3 linked regions of the Cricetulus griseus genome follow. The protein of the gene in region 3 interacts with the protein of the main gene of each other region in a pairwise test. Links are inferred from orthologs where the notes say so. Each region holds a gene or a part of one and is shown on either strand. Other genes may lie near its edges.

What was found.
Region 1: the proteins of Supt20h (region 3) and Atxn1 interact in binary tests that used the Homo sapiens proteins (3 or more experiments, as listed by UniProt). The link is inferred for Cricetulus griseus from reciprocal best matches to the Homo sapiens genes SUPT20H and ATXN1.
Region 2: the proteins of Supt20h (region 3) and Mapk14 interact in binary tests that used the Homo sapiens proteins (3 or more experiments, as listed by UniProt). The link is inferred for Cricetulus griseus from reciprocal best matches to the Homo sapiens genes SUPT20H and MAPK14.

The regions. Positions count from the first base shown.
Region 1 is NC_048596.1:265,664,838-265,671,136, reverse strand, and holds the start of Atxn1 (ataxin-1), read left to right. Parts: upstream 1-2,649; 5' UTR 2,650-2,871; intron 2,872-3,951; exon of another isoform or gene 3,952-4,110; intron 4,111-6,299. UniProt on the Homo sapiens protein: Chromatin-binding factor that repress Notch signaling in the absence of Notch intracellular domain by acting as a CBF1 corepressor. Binds to the HEY promoter and might assist, along with NCOR2, RBPJ-mediated repression. Binds RNA in vitro.
Region 2 is NW_023276806.1:233,800,536-233,806,630, reverse strand, and holds the start of Mapk14 (mitogen-activated protein kinase 14), read right to left. Parts: upstream 3,651-6,095; 5' UTR 3,480-3,650; coding exon 3,364-3,479; intron 1-3,363. UniProt on the Homo sapiens protein: Serine/threonine kinase which acts as an essential component of the MAP kinase signal transduction pathway.
Region 3 is NW_023276806.1:96,569,943-96,575,379, forward strand, and holds the end of Supt20h (transcription factor SPT20 homolog), read right to left. Parts: intron 5,174-5,437; coding exon 5,054-5,173; intron 2,758-5,053; coding exon 2,652-2,757; intron 1,242-2,651; coding exon 1,108-1,241; intron 425-1,107; coding exon 287-424; 3' UTR 1-286. UniProt on the Homo sapiens protein: Required for MAP kinase p38 (MAPK11, MAPK12, MAPK13 and/or MAPK14) activation during gastrulation.

The DNA of each region.
Region 1 (6,299 bases), on a different chromosome or scaffold from region 3:
ACTAAAATTTCTTTTCACATTAAGTAACTCATAACACAGATTAGGGGTAAGACTCAGCAGGCCTTCTTCCTTAATTTGACTCTGTTTCAAAGCTTGACTGAGTCTTGTGTAAATATATCATCAGATTTGGGTTTAGGGGAATAATGCTATAAAACTGCCAACTGCCACCTTGAAAACTGCTCTTTTTCCATTGAGTTTTCATTTGCATGAGAACGTTTGCTTTTAAAGAACCTGTCTTGGTACTTCTGATGGTGCATTTGATATTCTGTTATTTGGAAACAAAATACTTCAGCATTCAAGTAATAAAACTGTTTCATGGGTATTATGTTTGTGTTGAACCTTGCAGGAAGCAAAAGCTGTAGGTTTGTGTGTGTGTGTGAGAGAGAGAGAGGGGGGGGCAGAGACACAGAGAGAGTTTATGGCTTTAATCTTAATGGCTAGGAAAGTAGACAGCACATTTCTTATTAATTATTTTTACTATGTGGGTAATGCACATATTTAGCTTTCTTTGGGGAACATTTAAATTAATTGACTAAGTCTAATATGAATTATGTGTTTTAATATGTTTAAGGTTGTTAAAATAATGCAAATTAACTGCTTGCACCAACGTAATAATTACAATATTAGTTTTTTCCCTTGAAAATTCTCTAAATGTAAGATGTCTAAAAATAGAGTGGAGGTGGATTGGACAGTTTGCAGATTATGAGCTGGAATAAAAACATCTCAGTTACGCCAAAAACATGGCAACCAATATTTTCTGTTATAAAAATATTTTAGATGGATTTCGGTTTTTTTATGAAAGCTGTCTGCAACTGAAGTGAAGAGCAGAAGCTTTGTTGATTCACGGGCCAGCAGTCACAATACCTGCAACACAAAGCATGCGCCTTTTCCACGCGAAGCCGGCAAGCTTCTGCTCCTTTTCAAAGACAGACACCACTCAGTTAAGCTCTGAACTATTAACCCTCACCTGGATAAAGCTCAGGAGGGAAAACAAAACTAGTCAGAGCCTTGACAGGAAAGTCCTGTTAACTGTCCACTAGAGGCTGTAATGAGACCAACAATGTCACTTGAGCATATGAAGTCTAACAAACATGGATCTTTAAGTGAACAACACAAGTTACGGAGGGGGCTGAGAGGGAAGGAACAGTCGTAGTTCTATTTAAGTAGCCGTGGATGTGTGCACGGTATTTCAAAACCTGAAAATAGATATGTATCCTACCCCCCCCTCCGGGCTTTTTTTTTTTTTCTTCTGAAGTGCTGGCTCCACAATTCAGTAGTTTAAAAAGCTCACGCATTTCTCCTGGTGATTCTGTACGCTGCTTCAGACAGTGACTAACTGTTAGGTCATAAGTAAACGGAGCCAAAAGGTCTCTCAAATCCCGCTTACAGTCAATAATAGTGGCTTCCTACAAGACCGAGGGATCGGGTTTCTAGACTCTTAGTTCTAAGCACCTGAAAGAGGTCAGATGCTGGCCTGACACCTACTGGTTTTCGAGAATTATCTGCAGCAAAGGGAACTCGGCACTGAGCGACCCTTGTAGGGTTGTGCCCGCTCTTTCTCCGGGTGCCACACCTGTTGGCAAGGTACACTCCTCCGGGGAAGATTCCTTCCCACCGAGCTCACACCTGGCAGTGCTGTAGCGGAGGGGGTGGGTGGGGGGACTCTATGTCTGCGTTCAGCCACCAGGACCAGGGAAAGTTCCTTTGCCGTGGATTCCCGAGAACCGCCATCGAATGGTCGGGGCACCGGTTACCTCACTTCCGATGAAATGAGTGATTCCCTGTTAGCTGAGAAAGGAGTGAGCAGGTCGGCTCCCAGAGCTAGAACTGAGACGTCTGATTCCTACTGCAGATTTCTAGACCTGCAGAATTAGATAGGAGGGTCGGGAGGCTGCCAGCTTGTCCGGGCAGGAAAGGTGAGGGCGCCAGTGCAAACTGAGGAAGCCTGAGAACTTTCCCGAGTTGCAAGCCAAGGCGCGGGCCCAGAGTCGGGTTGCTCAGGGCTCACCGGCTGGAGGGTTAACAGCGAGGATACAGTGAGTCCTCTTAGACACACACCGGGGTGGCGGGGTGGGGGCACCAAGGTCACTTCGGGATTAGAGTCAGCCGACTTCCCCGCATCCTTGCTTATTTTACCAGGTGGGAACCGAAGCCTGACACCCGCTGCGGTGAGTCCTCCAGGCTGCGAGCGTTGCACCCTACACTCGCCCTGTCCCCTCCAACTAGGTTGCAAGGAGACGGGGAGGCGCGCGAGCTCCGACGGGTCACCACTCCAATGACCTCATCGCCCCAACTTCCCCTCCCCTTTCTCAAACCTGGAAGGCACAGTCCCCACGGGCCGATGTCCGGGATCCGGAGCCGCAGTTAGGGAGAGGCACCGGGCCTCCCCTGGAGGGAGGGACCGCTGCTCCGGCCGGGTGCACAGAAGGGTTAAGGGCGCGGGCCGGCAGCCGCGCCGTGCGCTCGCCGTGCTCTGTGCGGCTCGCCGGGCCGCCTGCCAGAGGGTGCCCCCCCCCCCCCATGAAGTCGGATCCTTGAGCTGTGGCGGCGGCAGCCAACTGCTCCATATTTGGCTTCTATTACACATTTACATACTGGAGCGAGCGAGCGAGCGCGAGAGAGAGCGCGAGGGAGGGAGGGCGGGCGGAGGGAGGAGGGAGGGGAGGGGGGAGGAGGAGGAGGAGAGAGCAGAGTATACCGCAGACATCATTTCTACTACAGTGGCGGAGCCGTACAGGACCTGTTTCACTGCAGGGGGATCCAAAACAAGCCCTGTGGAGCCGCAGCTAGAGCTACAGCAGCCGCAGGACACTGTGTCTCTCCCTCTGTCCCCCCTTCCCCACGCAACCCCAGATCCATTTACACTTTACAGTAAGTGGCTATTTTTTTTCCTCCTCTGATTCTTTCTCTCCCCCTCCCCCTTCCTCCTCTCCCCCCCCCTCGATTTAGATTAAAATCACCCCCTCCCTCACCCCAATCCTCTCTCTCCGGAGAGGGGCCAAAGAACATCCAGCGTACAATCTCCCCTCCCCCAGTCTCAATGGGCTACAAGGAAAACAGCTGGAAGAGGAGCGAAGGAAACCGACGCGTCGTGGTGTGTGTGCGTGTGTGTGTGTGTGTGAGTGTGTGTGTGTGTGTGTGTGCGTGTGCGCGCGCGCGTGTGTGTGAGTGTGTGTACATATACCCCTGCCGGGCTCCAGCCTCCCGGCTCGGGACCCCACTCTGGGCGCTGGAGCAGCGGGCCCGGGGAGCAGCCAGGGGTGGGCCGCCCCCAGGAGAGGGGGCGCGCCCGGGCAAGGGGCGCGGGTGGGGAGAGCGGCGGCGCCCCGCTCAGGCTGCTGCTGGCCCGGCGGCGGCGAGAGCCGAGAGCCTGGTCCTCCTCCCTCCTGGTGGCGCAGGGGGAGGCGGCAGCGGCTGAGGGTCGCGCTGCCCTCTTCGCTTTTGCAAATTCTCCCTCCCGGGAGGGGGCGGTGAGCGCCGCGGGGACTCGAGGGAGGGCTGGGCTTCCCCGCCCGGGGTCGCCTAGCTTGTGCGAGGCGACCCCAAGACTGGGGTCTCCCCGCCCAGGCCAGCCTCTGGGGACCGGGGACTTTGCGCACGGCCTGGGGGAGAGGAGAGGTGGCGGCGCAGGGGGCAGGGGCGCGCAGGCTATCGGAGCGCAGCGGGAGTGGCGGCGGGGACGGGCCCTGGCTGCAGCCGCCGCCACCGCCGCCCTGTTGGTGCGGCCGCTTCCTGATCCAAAGCAGCCGCCGCCGCCGCCGCCGCTGCCGGAGCCGGAGCCCGAGCTTCCCAGCCCGGCCCGGCCCGGCGTCCCAGCCGGCGCCCGAGGCAGCAGCCGAGGAGGGGCTCTGCCCTGCTCCGGGACTGCTCGGCTGCGCGGCGGCAGGGAGGGTGAATGAAGATGGGAGGAGGGGAAGGAGGAGGCGGCGGAGGAGGAGGCGCTGCGGGGATTGGGATGCGCCCCGGAGCCCCGCGGCTCGTTCACTCCGAGCCCGAGACGCCGCCTCTGCCGTGGCTGCCGCGGCCGCCGCGCCTCCTACGTGGTTGCAACGGAGCGCGCAGGCCGGTCCCGCAGGGGGCAGGGAAGGGGCCGGACGGGCGGAGCGAGAGGTGAGGCGGGGTCGGAGAGGAGGGAGTGAGAGCCTGTGAGTGTGTAGGTGTGTATGTGTGCGTGTGTTCTCGCGCCGAGTGGGGACCAGAGCCTCCGAGATGGGGAGGGGTCCCGCGGTGGTCCTTTGGCTGACTCTGCAGCGCCTCGACTTCTCCTTAGCCACCTCCTTCAACTCTGGGGCTTGTGCGCTTTCATTTTATTTCAGACCACGTAGAGCTGACTGGAAGCGGTGAAACAATTCAGGTTTTCTAGGGAGATTGAGCAAGGACCTTAGTGGTGGGGGGTGGAAGTAGGATGGTGATCTAGACTCTGCCAGAAAAAAAAAAAAAAAATCAGGGTTTTAAGACGGTGGAGTTCAGTTCGATCCCGTGGCTGTCCTGTTTTGTTTTGCTTTCTTTCTGCATAATCCTACAGATAAGAGGGTAATATAAATACTTGGGAAGGTTGGGAAATTGCTGAAGAGTAGTAAGGGCGAAAAAAAAAAAAAGCCAGTCGGAAGCTGGTTATATAATGCTCTATGTGGCTAACAAGAAAGGCAAGCTATTTTTATTTTGTTTACCGTATGTTGTGCAGTAGGAACTCCTCCAAACTGGTTCTGTCCCCGAAGAGATTTCTTAGCTTCTCAGAGAGAGCCACAGGATACAATTAGTAAAATTAGAAGACCCCACACCACCTACAGAATAAAAAGTAGTGCCTTACAGTAGAGTTCTCACCCTTGCATGCAGAGGACTGTGTGTGTGCAATATGTTTCCCTGTGGCAATCTAGTCTCATCTCAGTGACATTTCTGTTTTATAATGCAAGCTCCCCTTAATATTTAAACATCATTGCTATAGGTCGTACACAACAAGGTAGTTACATGCTGGTTATTTTTAGGCACAGCTGGTTACTTTTCAGTAGTGTTTGCAAGCTATTTCTATTTGGTTTTCTGAAAAGCCCTGCAGTTCCTAGAAGCCCTAAGTTAAGCCCACCCTCTGGTTTCTTGATGGTGGGTAGGTAGCTAAGACAGTTTGACAGCCGAGAGTTTATTTTTATTTTATTTTTGAATGAAGTTTATGCTAGTGGAAGCTAGAGGTAGCCACCAAAAGAAAAACATGTGCACGAACTCTTGGGAAGGGATTGCACCATAACAGTTTAGCTGTGGCATTTAATCTCCTCTGATTGTCCTCTAACTGGCCATGCATCAGTCAATATTTTAGCAGCTTTGCAAATAAATGGGCTTGAATGCTCCCTTCCATAGGAGGCTGAAAAGCCTCCTGCCTGTCTGCCTCTCTCATCATACAGATACTGTCAGTGGTGTTAGTTTTCTGTACACTTACTCCGGCCCTGATCACTCATGTAATTAGATCAGGCTGCCATGGCAACAGACAGTGTTTCTTGGTCCATTCAGGTGGGTTTGCCTGAACTACTCCTAGTGTTTTATGCACAATATTCGAGCTGCCCGAACCAGAAAGGAGAAAGACTTCGCCATTTCAATTGCATCTTCTTTCAGTCATCTGAACAGGAGACTGAATGAGGCTTCTAGCTACTTAGCTTCTTTAAAGGAAACCAACCCACTGTTCCTACTGGGTACAATATGTAAATGTATCTCCCCAGACAGTGAAAGGAGCCTGACAATCCTTCTGGTGTTTATTGTTAGCAGATCAACAAGTATTTGATACTTGCTAGAAACCTTTCAGAGCTCACTGAAGCAACGTTTCTTTTGCATTCTAGAGCCTTTGGCCTTGTAGGCACTTAACTCTTTCAAGTGTGAGAGAAGAGGACACCCATGCTTTAGGACTGAAATTGGGGGCAGTGTTGCTGGCTTTTTAGGTAGTTTACTAAGAGGAGCTGGCTTCTTGGGAAAGTATATTCCCACTGTCACATTTTAAAACTTCACAGCCCACGTTATAAAAAGGGACACTGATAGTAGGCAGGCATTCTGAATGTTATCTTTCTGAATTTCGATCTGTTGCTCCTGATCCTTGATGATCTTCAGTAGTAATTGAAGATATTTTTACAGCTAAGTTAGGGATGCTACAAGCCAGTATCATGCATGGAGCTTTGCACATTAAACCGTGTATATGATACTTAGGGATATAATTTAATAAACATTAAATTATATAAATAAGAGAGCTGCAGGCCAGTGTTTGCATTCCCTTATCACCTTAAGCCTGCTAAGGGCAGAAAAAATATATATATTATGAAAGA
Region 2 (6,095 bases), about 140 Mb from region 3:
TTGTATTTCCTTAAATTCACCACAGAGATTTTCCCCTATGTCCCAAACCACAAAATCAATGCATTGCAACAATGTGGTCTTAGACAATTTTGCTTCATTTCCCTCTACAGACAATGAACAAAGTTCCTTAAACTTGAAGACTTAGTTTAGTTCCTTTTGCTCTTTTTGAAAGAAAGATACTGTGTAGCTCTATCAGCCCTCAACTTTCTGGTCTTTCATTGATCTTTGATTCATAGTTGGTTACTGCACAATACAGAGCGCTACTTTTTTGTCACTGCTGTTCACTACATAGTGCAAATTAAAATATAGGCTTGAGCTTAAAAAAAAAAGCGCTACACATCAAAGTGTACCATGTCCCATACCAAGATTCCTTTATCCAGAGACCTCAGGGCCAGCTCAATAAGCCATATTAAAAAATGCTGTGATATTATAAGTGTAACCCAGTGTTGCCAACTGGACTGCCTTCTCTCCTTTCAAGGCTTCAGTCTGAATCCCCCTCAGTCACTTGCATTCAAATGGACATCACTGTTTTCCGATATCAAACTGTCTCGGAGGATCAGAGTGGAGAATGGGAACACAAGCCACCAAGTGGGTTAAAAAAGAATTTCAAGAAGTCAGGCATGGTGGCATACACCTTTAATTCTCCTAGTCAGGCAGAGAGGCAGGTGGATCTCTGTGAGTTTGAGGCCAGCCAGGTCTACAGAGAGAGTCCCAGGACAGCCAGGGCTACACAGAGAAATCCTGTCTTGGGGGCGGGGGAGGGGGATGGAGAAAAAGAAAAGAAAGAAATTCAAAAGGTGTTTTCAGTTGTACCCAAAAAGCTAACTGAAAACACAACTTTAGGCCTGAAGAAATGATTCAGTGGTCAGTGCTCCTGTAGAGGACCCAGGTTCAATTCCCATCACCCACATGGCAGCTCACAACTGTCTGTAACTCCAGTTCCAGGGTCTCCATGGCACCAAGCATTCATGGGGTGCACATATATGTGTGTAAGCAAAATACCCACACATATATAAAATAAATAAATCCTCAAAAAAAAAAAAACCCAGCTTCAAATAACTTGAGAGAGTTATTTGCTCAGTCATCATGTACAATTTCAGCTGTCTTTTCCCCCATCGACAGGTTATAGGCTACACCTTACATCTCTGGTACAAACTCTTCGTCTCTGAAAAAGACATGCAAGGAACCGAATAGCGGTTGTCACTGAAGGAAGAGAAAACAGGGCTGGGGAACAGAAACAGAAGGCTTCCTGCTGCATACCTTTTTACATTTTATACATAATGAGTTGCTAATGAGTTGCTTTGTGTTGTTTGTGTATTGCTGGGGATGGAATGCAGGGCCTCCCATATGCAAGACCAGGGGCTGTAGTATGAGTTACATCACTGGTCCTGTATCACATACTTTTTTTGGTTTTTCAAGACCAAGACAGGGTTTCTCTGTGTAGCTTTGGAGCCTATCCTGGCACTCGCTCTGGAGACCAGGCTGGCCTCGAACTCACAGAGATCCGCCTGCCTCAGCCTCCCCAGTGCTGGGATTAAAGGTGTGTGCCACCACCGCCCTGCCCTGTATCACCTACTTTTAAGAAGCTGTTTGGTACAAGTCCTTTCCAACTGTGAGGTGGTGCTGAATTCTATTTCATAGAAAAGAACAGCACCAGAGGAAGTGAGCGTAGTTTTAATGGCACTTCACCACTGAACTTCATTGCAAACCTGGCTCTTCGGCCAGGACAGCAGTGTCCATAGGAAACCTTGCAAGTTCACCCACCCAGATGGCCTACAGTGGAGATACTCTGTTTCACCACTCCCTGAACATTCAAATGGAAAGCAAAGCCTGATACTCTAACAATTAGGAATGACGGACTGAGGTATGCTAATGAGCTATTAAATATTAGAGAATGAAGATAACAGTCGCAAATACACATGACAGATGTGTGAACTGCCATTCTGTAGACATGGGAGAAAGACGTCAGGGTTGGTGCCATCTGCAACATAACTTAAGCAGCTTGCGCCAACAAATGCAATATGATCTGTTGCTGGACACTATTGCACAATCTCAATTACCCAGAAGGTTCTACCAAACAGGAAATTCATGGTGTGACTTTAAGTAACACAGGACTCATACCTAAAGATTAACACATGCAGAACCCTGGAATTTGTTACAAAACAAACCATTTCACAAACCTTCGAAAACAGGAGTGTATATAAATTACTAAAGCACGTGAAGAGCTAAGCTGTTGAACCTCAAGAACCAGAGCTCTAAGAAGACACTAAGCCTAAAAGACACTGTATGAACCCTGGAGAGTTCCTAATCACTTCTGGAGTGGATATTTTATAGTATGGATTTAATTTGAAACCCACTCCCAGGGCCTTGCAAAGGTGGTAAAAGCCTTTATTCCAGGCCAGCCAGAAGAGTGAAGTTCAGGGCAGCCAGGGACATACAAAGTCTCAAATGAACAACAAAGAATCAAGAATCACGGTGTGAATGACAGCTGAGAAACATTGTTTCCTTTGCTCTCACCAAAGCCACGTCCCTCAGCCCTGGGAAAAAAAAAAAAAAAGCAAGCTGATAGCGCGCCCCTACAAATCTTCAAAGGGACTTAAAGAAAAGCATCCCAGGAATTATTTCAACTAAAAAGCTATTTACACCTCCGATCACTTGATCTGGAGTCCCTGTGGCCCGCATGGGAAAACTGATTTGTGGAGCAACACTGAAATGAGCAGTGGTGTGTGACTAAGCGGCGAGCGGTGGCGTCCTTGCAGGCGCTGCCACCCTCCCGCCCCGAAAAGGAAATACGCTTTCAACCGAATCGGAAACACAGCACGCAAGCTGGCACCGCGCTCGCCGAGATAAAGTCAGCATTCTAGGCTCTTCGGGGTGCTGCTAATTCATGTGCTAATTCCCAAAGAACGCTTCCGGAGCCAGATTTGTCCCCCCTCCAGATGGAGTCTTGCAAGAAAAAGGAAAAAACAAAAACAAAAATCCGGGAAGGGAGCGCTTTTTTTTTTTTTTTCTTGCAAGTTTCGTTCCGGTGACCGCAGTCGCGGGGTCAGGCTGTGTGCCCTGCCGCTCCTCGCAGAGGCTCCGCCCGGCTGGCTCGCCCGCTCTCCCGGGGCTGCGGGGCTGCGGAGGGAGCCCGGGAGGGGCGCAGGGTGGAGCCCGCGCGGCTGCACCCGGGTGGGTGAGTGAGGGGTGCAGGGCCCGGCCGGGGCAGAATTCCTGCCGCTGGGCGCATCGCGGAGCCGCGGGCACAGGCCGGGCCTCAGGCTCGCACGCTCGCACGCACGGAGGCTCGCACGCAGGCACGCAGGCAGGGCCGCCCCGCCGGCTCCGGCGTCCCCGGACCCCAGGCCCGGCGACACTCACCACACCGAGCCGTAGGCGCCCGAGCCCACCGGGGACAGGTTCTGGTAGCGCTCGGGCACCTCCCAGATGGTCTTGTTCAGCTCCTGCCGGTAGAACGTGGGCCTCTCCTGAGACATCTTCCAGCGGCGGCCGGGGCCGCTGCCTGCAGCCGCACGCTGTCTGTCCTCGGCGCTCGCCCGCCGCTCGCCCGCCGCTCGCCCGCGCGGGGCTGGCTGGACGCCGCGGCCCCTGTCAGAGCCGCGGGCACGCGCGGGAGCCGGCTGTGCGGCTCGAGGCTGCTCCCGCCGCTGCGCTGCAGCCGCGCCGCGCCGACGCCGCACGACTCCCGCTCGCAGCGCTGCAGCGCCGCCCGCCCGCCCGGGCTCCCGTGGGCTGGCTCCGGCCGCCGCGCTCCTCCCGGCAACGACCGGAGCCTCTCGCGGAAGTCTCGCGAGAACAACGCCCCGTCCCGCCCGCGCCCACGGCCCCGCCCCGTCCGACCGCCCCGCCCCGCCCCGCCGGGATCTTACCCAATACGGAACCCGCCCGTGGGAGGGGCCGCTGCGAGCGCGCCGGAGGCGGCGCCTCTCGCGAGAACACGGAGCGGGCGGGGCTGGCAGGGCTTCGGGGCAGGGGCTCTCGGAGGAGGAGCGCGGGGAGGATGGAGAGGACGGAGGAGGAGCGCGGGGAGGAGCGCGGGGCGGACGGGAGAGAGGAGCGCGCGGAGGAGCGCGGGGCGGAGGAGGACGGGGAGGAGGAGCGCGGGGAGGAGCGCGGGGCGGACGGAGAGGAGGAGCGCGGGGAGGAGCGCGGGGAGGAGCGCGGGGCGGACGGAGAGGAGGAGCGCGGGGAGGAGCGCGGGGAGGAGCGCGGGGCGGACGGGGAGGGCGCAGCGCGTGCCGCGCGCGCCTCGCTGTGGTCGGCTGGGCGAGCGCTGGCGCCAGGGCGGCAAAGCTGCCGGCCCCTGGCTGCCCAGGGACGGACGGACGGACAGACGGACGGACTGATGGACGGACGCTCGCTGCCCCTGCCCCGGAGCCCAGGCCGCCCCTCCAGACGCCCAGGAGCCCCCTTCAGTTTTCTCAGGCTGAAGAGCCGCCCTGGACGTTTCAGAAGCAAATTCCAGGGGCCGGGCCGGCCGGGCTCGGGGCCTGCGTAGCATTTGCGAGGTCCTGGGTTCGATTCCTGTGCTGGAAGGGACAGGGACGTATGTACCCATGCGCGCACACACATGCACACACACACACACACATGCACACACACACGTATGCGCGCACACAATGCACACACACGTATGCACGCACACACATGCACACACCACACACACACACATGCGCGCGCACATGCACACACAGACACACACGCGCGCGCACATGCACACACAGACACGCACACGTGCGCGCACACACGTGCACACACACGCACACACACGTATGCGCGCACACACATGCACCACATGCTCACACACACCACACGTATGTGCGCACACACATGCACACACACATGCTGGTAGGTCATTGTATTCCAGGAAGGTCTCCTCTTCCATATATATATGAATATAATGTATATGAATATTTTACACACACTATATATATTTTATTTATATATATTTATATATATGTAATATATATGTATATATGTAATAAATATATATATGTAATAAATAAATGTAATAAATATATATTTATTACTCTCTGTGACCCCAGCAGTTGGAAGGAAGCCCAGCCTCTGCTGTGCAATGAGTAGCTAGCAGGCAGCCTGGGCTGCTTTTCTGAAACACCCAAAACCCATTCCTGGGGTTTGAGCCTGACTCCTGCCCATGAGAACCATCCCGACTGTAGAGATTTAAAGGAAACTTTGGAGACTCCTAAGAATGTGAACTCAGAGAATTTTAAAGACTTAATCCCCGCCCGGGCGCATGGGGAACGGGGCAGCGAGTTCTGGCAGCGCAGCTTGGAGACAAACCTGCTGACCTGAGGCCCCGGCTCGACTTCCCACGAGAGGTCAAGCATCCCCCCGTCTTGGAAGCTGAAGATAAACGTGACCGTGCGCGCCTCTCTGCGTTCGTCTGAGCAGAGGAGAGGCCGTTTCCGAGGATGCCCAGGGTGCCCGCGGCCCGGGTGTGCTGCGCAGCCGGGTACCCTTCTCCTGGCCCGGGTGCCGTCCACGCCAGCCTGCGCGTCACCCGCCGCACCCCCGGAACGCCCGCGGGTTCTGCAGCAACGGCTCGGAACTGCCGGCCTCCGCGTCCGTCCGCCTCCAGCCAGTCTGACCCCAGCGTCTGCGACTCCCGCCCGCCACCGGGAACCAGGTGAGCCTCGGTCCGGAGCCATCGGGAGCTCTGGCTGCAGCCCGGGAGCCCAGAGGCAGCGGAGCGTCCCAGGGCGGGGCTGGTGGGGTCACCTGCAGGGCCCAGAGGGTCCTGGGCACTCTGGATTGTTTGCGCTACGAGTGGATGGATGGATGATGGGTGGATGAAGGGAGGGAGGGAGGGAGGGAGGAGGGAGGAGGGAGGGAGGGAGGGAGGGAGGGGGTGGGTGGATGGTGGAGGGAGGGGTGAGAGAGGGAGGGAGGGGTGGTGGGTAGGAAGGAGGGAGGGAGGGGTGGAAGGGATGGAGGGGGTGGGAGGGAGGGAGGGAGGGAGGGAAGGAGGGGTGGAGGTAGTCCCTGGAACGTCTCTCTGGGATAGAAAGGCAGCCTGAAACAGCAGCAGGAGACAAAGTGGGTTTTGCAGGCCGGGTCCTCTCAAAGTT
Region 3 (5,437 bases):
TTGCAAAACAGCTGTAAAAATTGTATTTGTTACACTGTGCACAGGCTTTTTATACTAAATAAATACCAAACTATGTTCTTTTTGAAGATATTTCTAGTAGTTCTTAGATGGTATATATAGGAAAACATTTAACCATGTCTCCATATAAGAATCACAGGATTGTCCTTCTGTATAAAGTATGTACATCCATCAATGTAAAATACTGACATCTTGGGGGGGGGGGATGAAGTAGAAATGCAGTTCTTTTCATTCACTGGTCTTGTAAAAAAAAAGAAAGAAAAATTGCTCAGAATTTTGGAGTGGTTGGCATGCCTCTCTTCACTTTACTCTTTGACTGGCCACCTGAATGTCGGTGACGATGTAGCTGGGCTGTTTGTGCGGCGGCTGCTGCCATAGCCATCTGATGTTGCAAGAATCTCAACTGCTGTAAAAGTGGAAAAAAGGAGATGACATTATGTTAAATGCATAGGTGTAGAAAGGTGCTTCCCCAGGAGTGATGAAAACAAGCCCAAGAGGAGAAAGCATGAGGTCACAAAGGGTACTTCCCCAAATCAGGATACTGTAGGGGTCTGCTGAGGGCTTTAAATACTATTCTTGAAAATGATACAATTATCTATTACTTAGCCCTGGCAGTCCATATTGCAGTAATGCAGCAACTTCAGTTACCATTTTGTTGTATGATGATCATTTATAGCAAAATGAACCAATTACCAAGAGTCAATCATGGTATGCTAACACCTTTTCTTAAAATAATAGGTAACATTTTTCTAAACATGTATGACATTTACTAACAGGAACACTCCCACAATACAGAATCAAAGTTAATAATTGGCACTTACAACTATTTCAAAATACAATGCACATTAAAGGGGTGTGTGGAATGTGCCACCAAGACCTTAAAAAGGATTTAAAGATGCACTGTTACAAAATACACTCAATGCTCCAAGCTGACTAGCATTTAAAAATGTCAGACTTCTAAATCAAACTAAATTACTGACCAATTGCTTTAGACTTAACAGACAGGAAAGTAGCCCTACTACTGCAAGGCAATGCACAGTACTTTTGGAACTCAGGGTCTTAATTAATCAAGTGAATCTGCTGGCTTACTTGAATCTGCTGCTGCTGCTGCTGCTGCTGCTGCTGCTGCTGTTGCTGCTGCTGCAAGGCAGAGGAGAGCTGGAGTCTCTGCTGAAGAAGGCTTTGCTCAGGTCTGTTCTCGGCAGAGCTAAGCTGAGACAACACTACAGGAGAAGGGGAAAGCAGGCCAGTCAAAAGTTTGAAGGTGCCCAGGGTTAGAAAACACAATATAGAAAATGAGAAAAATAGAAATTAACCTTAAGTATCAAAGCATACATATTTTAGAATAAATTTAGTCTCCTGCTAATTAAGGGTGTCACTGTTTTCAGAACATTCTGGCCATACAGAGATAAGGGAGTGCCCAGATTAAGGTATTGTATTCCTTCCATCTCTTCTTTTTCTTTTTATTTTGAGACAGAGTCTCATCCCAGGCTGGCCTCAGGACACACTATGTAGAAGAGGTTAACCCTGAATTCCTGATTCTCTTCTTTCCACTTGCAGAATGCTTTGGTTATAGGTTTATGCCATTGTATCCAGTGTTCTGTAGTACTGAAGCACTCTAGCACCTCAGCTACATGCATCCTGCCTCCATGGCAACCTCTTTGCATCCCTATGGAACTTGATACTGGACCATGGTCCGAAAGCCACCCTTATATGAAGTAAAGTGAGCCAAGACTTGCAGCTGATGGGGCCATTCTAGTCATACCACATTCTCAAGTGCAGGTGGCAAGGCAGACCTGGCCTAAGTGACTGCAATTTTGTCTGAAGCCAGACAAATTCTCATGATCTGTCTACCATTCTTTTCACAAATTTACTTTGGCTATTTTAGAAAAACTACAACTTGTTTGGTAAAGGTAGTTACAAATCTGCATTTGGAAATTCACTAATTCTAAATTACAGCTCTATGTAGGAATTACTTTCAAACTGTAGACGTAGATTACTCCTACTAAGTAAGGAACATCTAAATTTGAAAACTGGTAGTTACAGAAAAGGTAACACTCAACACATAGGGACAATTCACTGAATCCTCAAATTCCATTATAGCTTTGTTAATTTTTTTAAATACAATTCTATCATGTGGCTTATTCAAATGTGAAGTCAGAATTCAGTACAGTATTACCTTTTGTTTACTTTCTCCTACTGAAAGTGGGAGCATTCAAATTTCCTTTTTATAAGCAAGTAACTCACAGAAGTTTTACTAATTATGAAGATTTAACTCATAGAAGTACAAACAGAAAAATTATGCAATCTAGGAAAATGTAGTCTCAGGTAATTAAGAAAACAGAATTAACCACTTGCAGTGCAAACACTGAAAACTGCTTTGACAGCTTTCTATAAACTCAGATGAATATGTAAAAGCTGACCAGTTAACCACTGTAAATGGAACATATAAGTATGTGAGTCAACACTTTCACAATCAGCTGTCCAAGTAATTTTTAAAAGAAAAACTCCTGGCCAACTGTTTGTTAATCTAATAGTTCACAGATTAAATACTTCAGTTTTTTTCTGATTATTGCTTGCAAGGAAATAATTTACACAGTGAGATCTCAATAGGAAGTCAGGATGGTACCTACCAGCTGCCTGTGACGGTGTAAAGCCTCCTACTCCTGTAAGATTAATAACAGCAGCTTGCTGAGCAGTTAAGGCCTGTTCTTGAGCAGTTAAACCTTGTTCAGAACCCTGAATTAAGAAAAAAAAAGAATAACAAGTGACTTGTACAAAAAGGGCAAAGCAATTTGAGTCAGTGAGAAGACAGCTTTTCTTTGCTGTATGAGGAAGAAAACAACAGTAGCTTAGGTTTCATATAAATATAAACTATGAACATATGTAGAAGTAGCAAGAATGGAACCCGCTCCTTGGAATGAACAACAGCTAAAATAATTTGTGCTGGAGAGATGGTTCAATGATTAAGAGCACCAAGTGCTCTTCTGCAGGATCCAGGCTTGATCCCCTGGGGGATCAAGGCTGGGGATCAAGCCTGGATCCTGCAGAAGAGGATCATTTCACAATCATTTGTAACTCCAGTTTCAGGGAATCTGACACCCTCTTCTGGCCTCCACAGGTACATGCATGCACATGGTACACAGGCATACATGCAAGTGAAACACCCATACATATAAAAATAAAATTTTAACAAGATATACTCTTGTCATCTCTCAAGATCATACAGAGTCAGAGAGAGGTACAATTTTGATAAATTATAGGGCAAGTAAAATTGTAGAACTCTTAAGAGGAAAATATAGGAGAATGGTTTCACCAGTTTGATTTGTGAATCATTTCTTCAATATGAACCCAAAAGTATAGTGGAAGAAAGTAAACATGTACAGCACAGAATGTATCAAAACTGCACAGGCCATGATCACAGTGAGTAACTGGGGATTTCTCAGATTTTTATGAAGAATATATATACAATGTCTTCAACTCAACAATGCAGAAATATATAACCTCATTAAAAAATAGGCCAGGGATTTATATAGATTTTTTTTTTCTTCAAAGATACAGAAACAAACAAGTGCAGAAAAGCTCTAGCCAGGGAGACTCTCAACTCATTCTCACGTGGGATAGCTGCTACTCAAAACAAAATCAGCTTAAACAGGAAGTGCAATGCCTAGCCTGCTGGAGGCGGAGTTTGATCTCTACCACAAGAAACAGAAAAATAAATAAACAAAAAGTTAGGATTTGGACAGACTGACCCTTGACCACCCTGCTGGTAGTAATGTAAAACAATGCAGCACTATAGTAGAAAACAGTGTGTTGTCTCAGGAAATTAACAGAATTCCTGTAAGACCCAACAAGTTCTTGACACATATCCAAATGAATGACCTGTCTGTTGTGACAGTAACAGACAGAAAAGGACACATGGGCCATGATTCTATCTCCCTACATGAGGCACTCAGGATGGTTAAGATAAAAAACCCACAATGGTGGCTGCCAGTGGATTGAGGAAGTTATCCGCTGTTTATAAAGTTTCAATTTTACAAGGTAGGAAGTGCTTTGTGCAACAGTGTGAATGCACTCAATACTGCTAAAATGTTAAATTTAAATGGTAAACAGCTGGCACGGTTCACACCTGTTATCCCATCACTTGCATGCTGGGGCAGAATGAATGCCAAGTTCCCAGCTAGGCTGGAGTAAGAACCTGTCTCAAAAACAGCAACAACAAAAAGCTTGAACAGTAAACTTCTGGCCCCAAGGCTGACCATAGAACCCAACAGTGTAAGGACAGAACCTACTCCTACCAGTCCTCTGGACTCATGTGTACCATCACCCATACACAGACATAAAGAAAATAAAATTTGTTTTTAAAAGGTGAAAGAAAACTAGACATCTTGTCAGTGAAGCAAAACCCTTAATGTGCTAATATATAATACAGAAAAGGTTTCCAACATGTAATCCCTGAGACACCTATTAGAGGATGAGTTCTACTCACTCAAGATTCAAAGAGGGACATGCAAGAGGGCTGATGGGATAGTTTTCAGCATCAGCTGAGACATTCAAGGTGAGACCCAGTTTCTCAAATGATTCTACAGACTAGCCCAAGTCCAGGAACACTTGTCCCTTTCTCTTCAAACTTCAGTTTATTTAATTACATCCTGACTGTAGTGTGCAGTATCTGCTTCTGTCTGTGTTCTGACTGCCCAATACTTCAAGACAACACAGACAGATCCACTGCAACAACAATAAATTTCTACAAACAGAAGATGATAGGCTAGTTAGAGAAGACATAGTAAGGTGGAGTCAACTGCCACTGTCATTCACTGTCTGGCTATGTGACACTTGCTTGTTGGCAAGATGGAGACCTCCATTCAGAGCAGCTATGATTAGAATAATTGGCAGCTACAGGTGTTGATAAAGAGAAAAAACACAGGAACTATTTCTTTCAACAAGTTCAAACAGTGGAAATGTATGAAAAAAAACATGTCCTAAGTTCCGAGTCCAAAATGCACATAACACAAAAAGGTTAAAGATCCCATACCTGCTCCTCTGGCTGCTGGGGACTTGAGGTTGTAGGCTGTTGAGGTTGTTGTACAAACTGAGGGAGCTGTGGCTGCGGCTGTTGCTGCTCAGTGTTAAAAATGACTGAACCACCAGGAAGCTATCCAGAATTTAAACAAGAATTAGCTACCTTTCCATTGTTTACATGTGAATGATTTAAATTTCCTTACAAATATTCACAGATAATTAGCTAGGAGTCAAGCACTCTTCCAGACTCTGAGGAAACAGATAAAGTCAGAGCAAGAGGACTGGAGATGAAATTCAGCAGCTGCTGGGTCAGCTTCTAGCACCTCCACACACACCACACAGAAGTAAAACAAAACAAGCTTTGTTTTATGGGCTTTGGAGGCTGTCCTAGAACTAG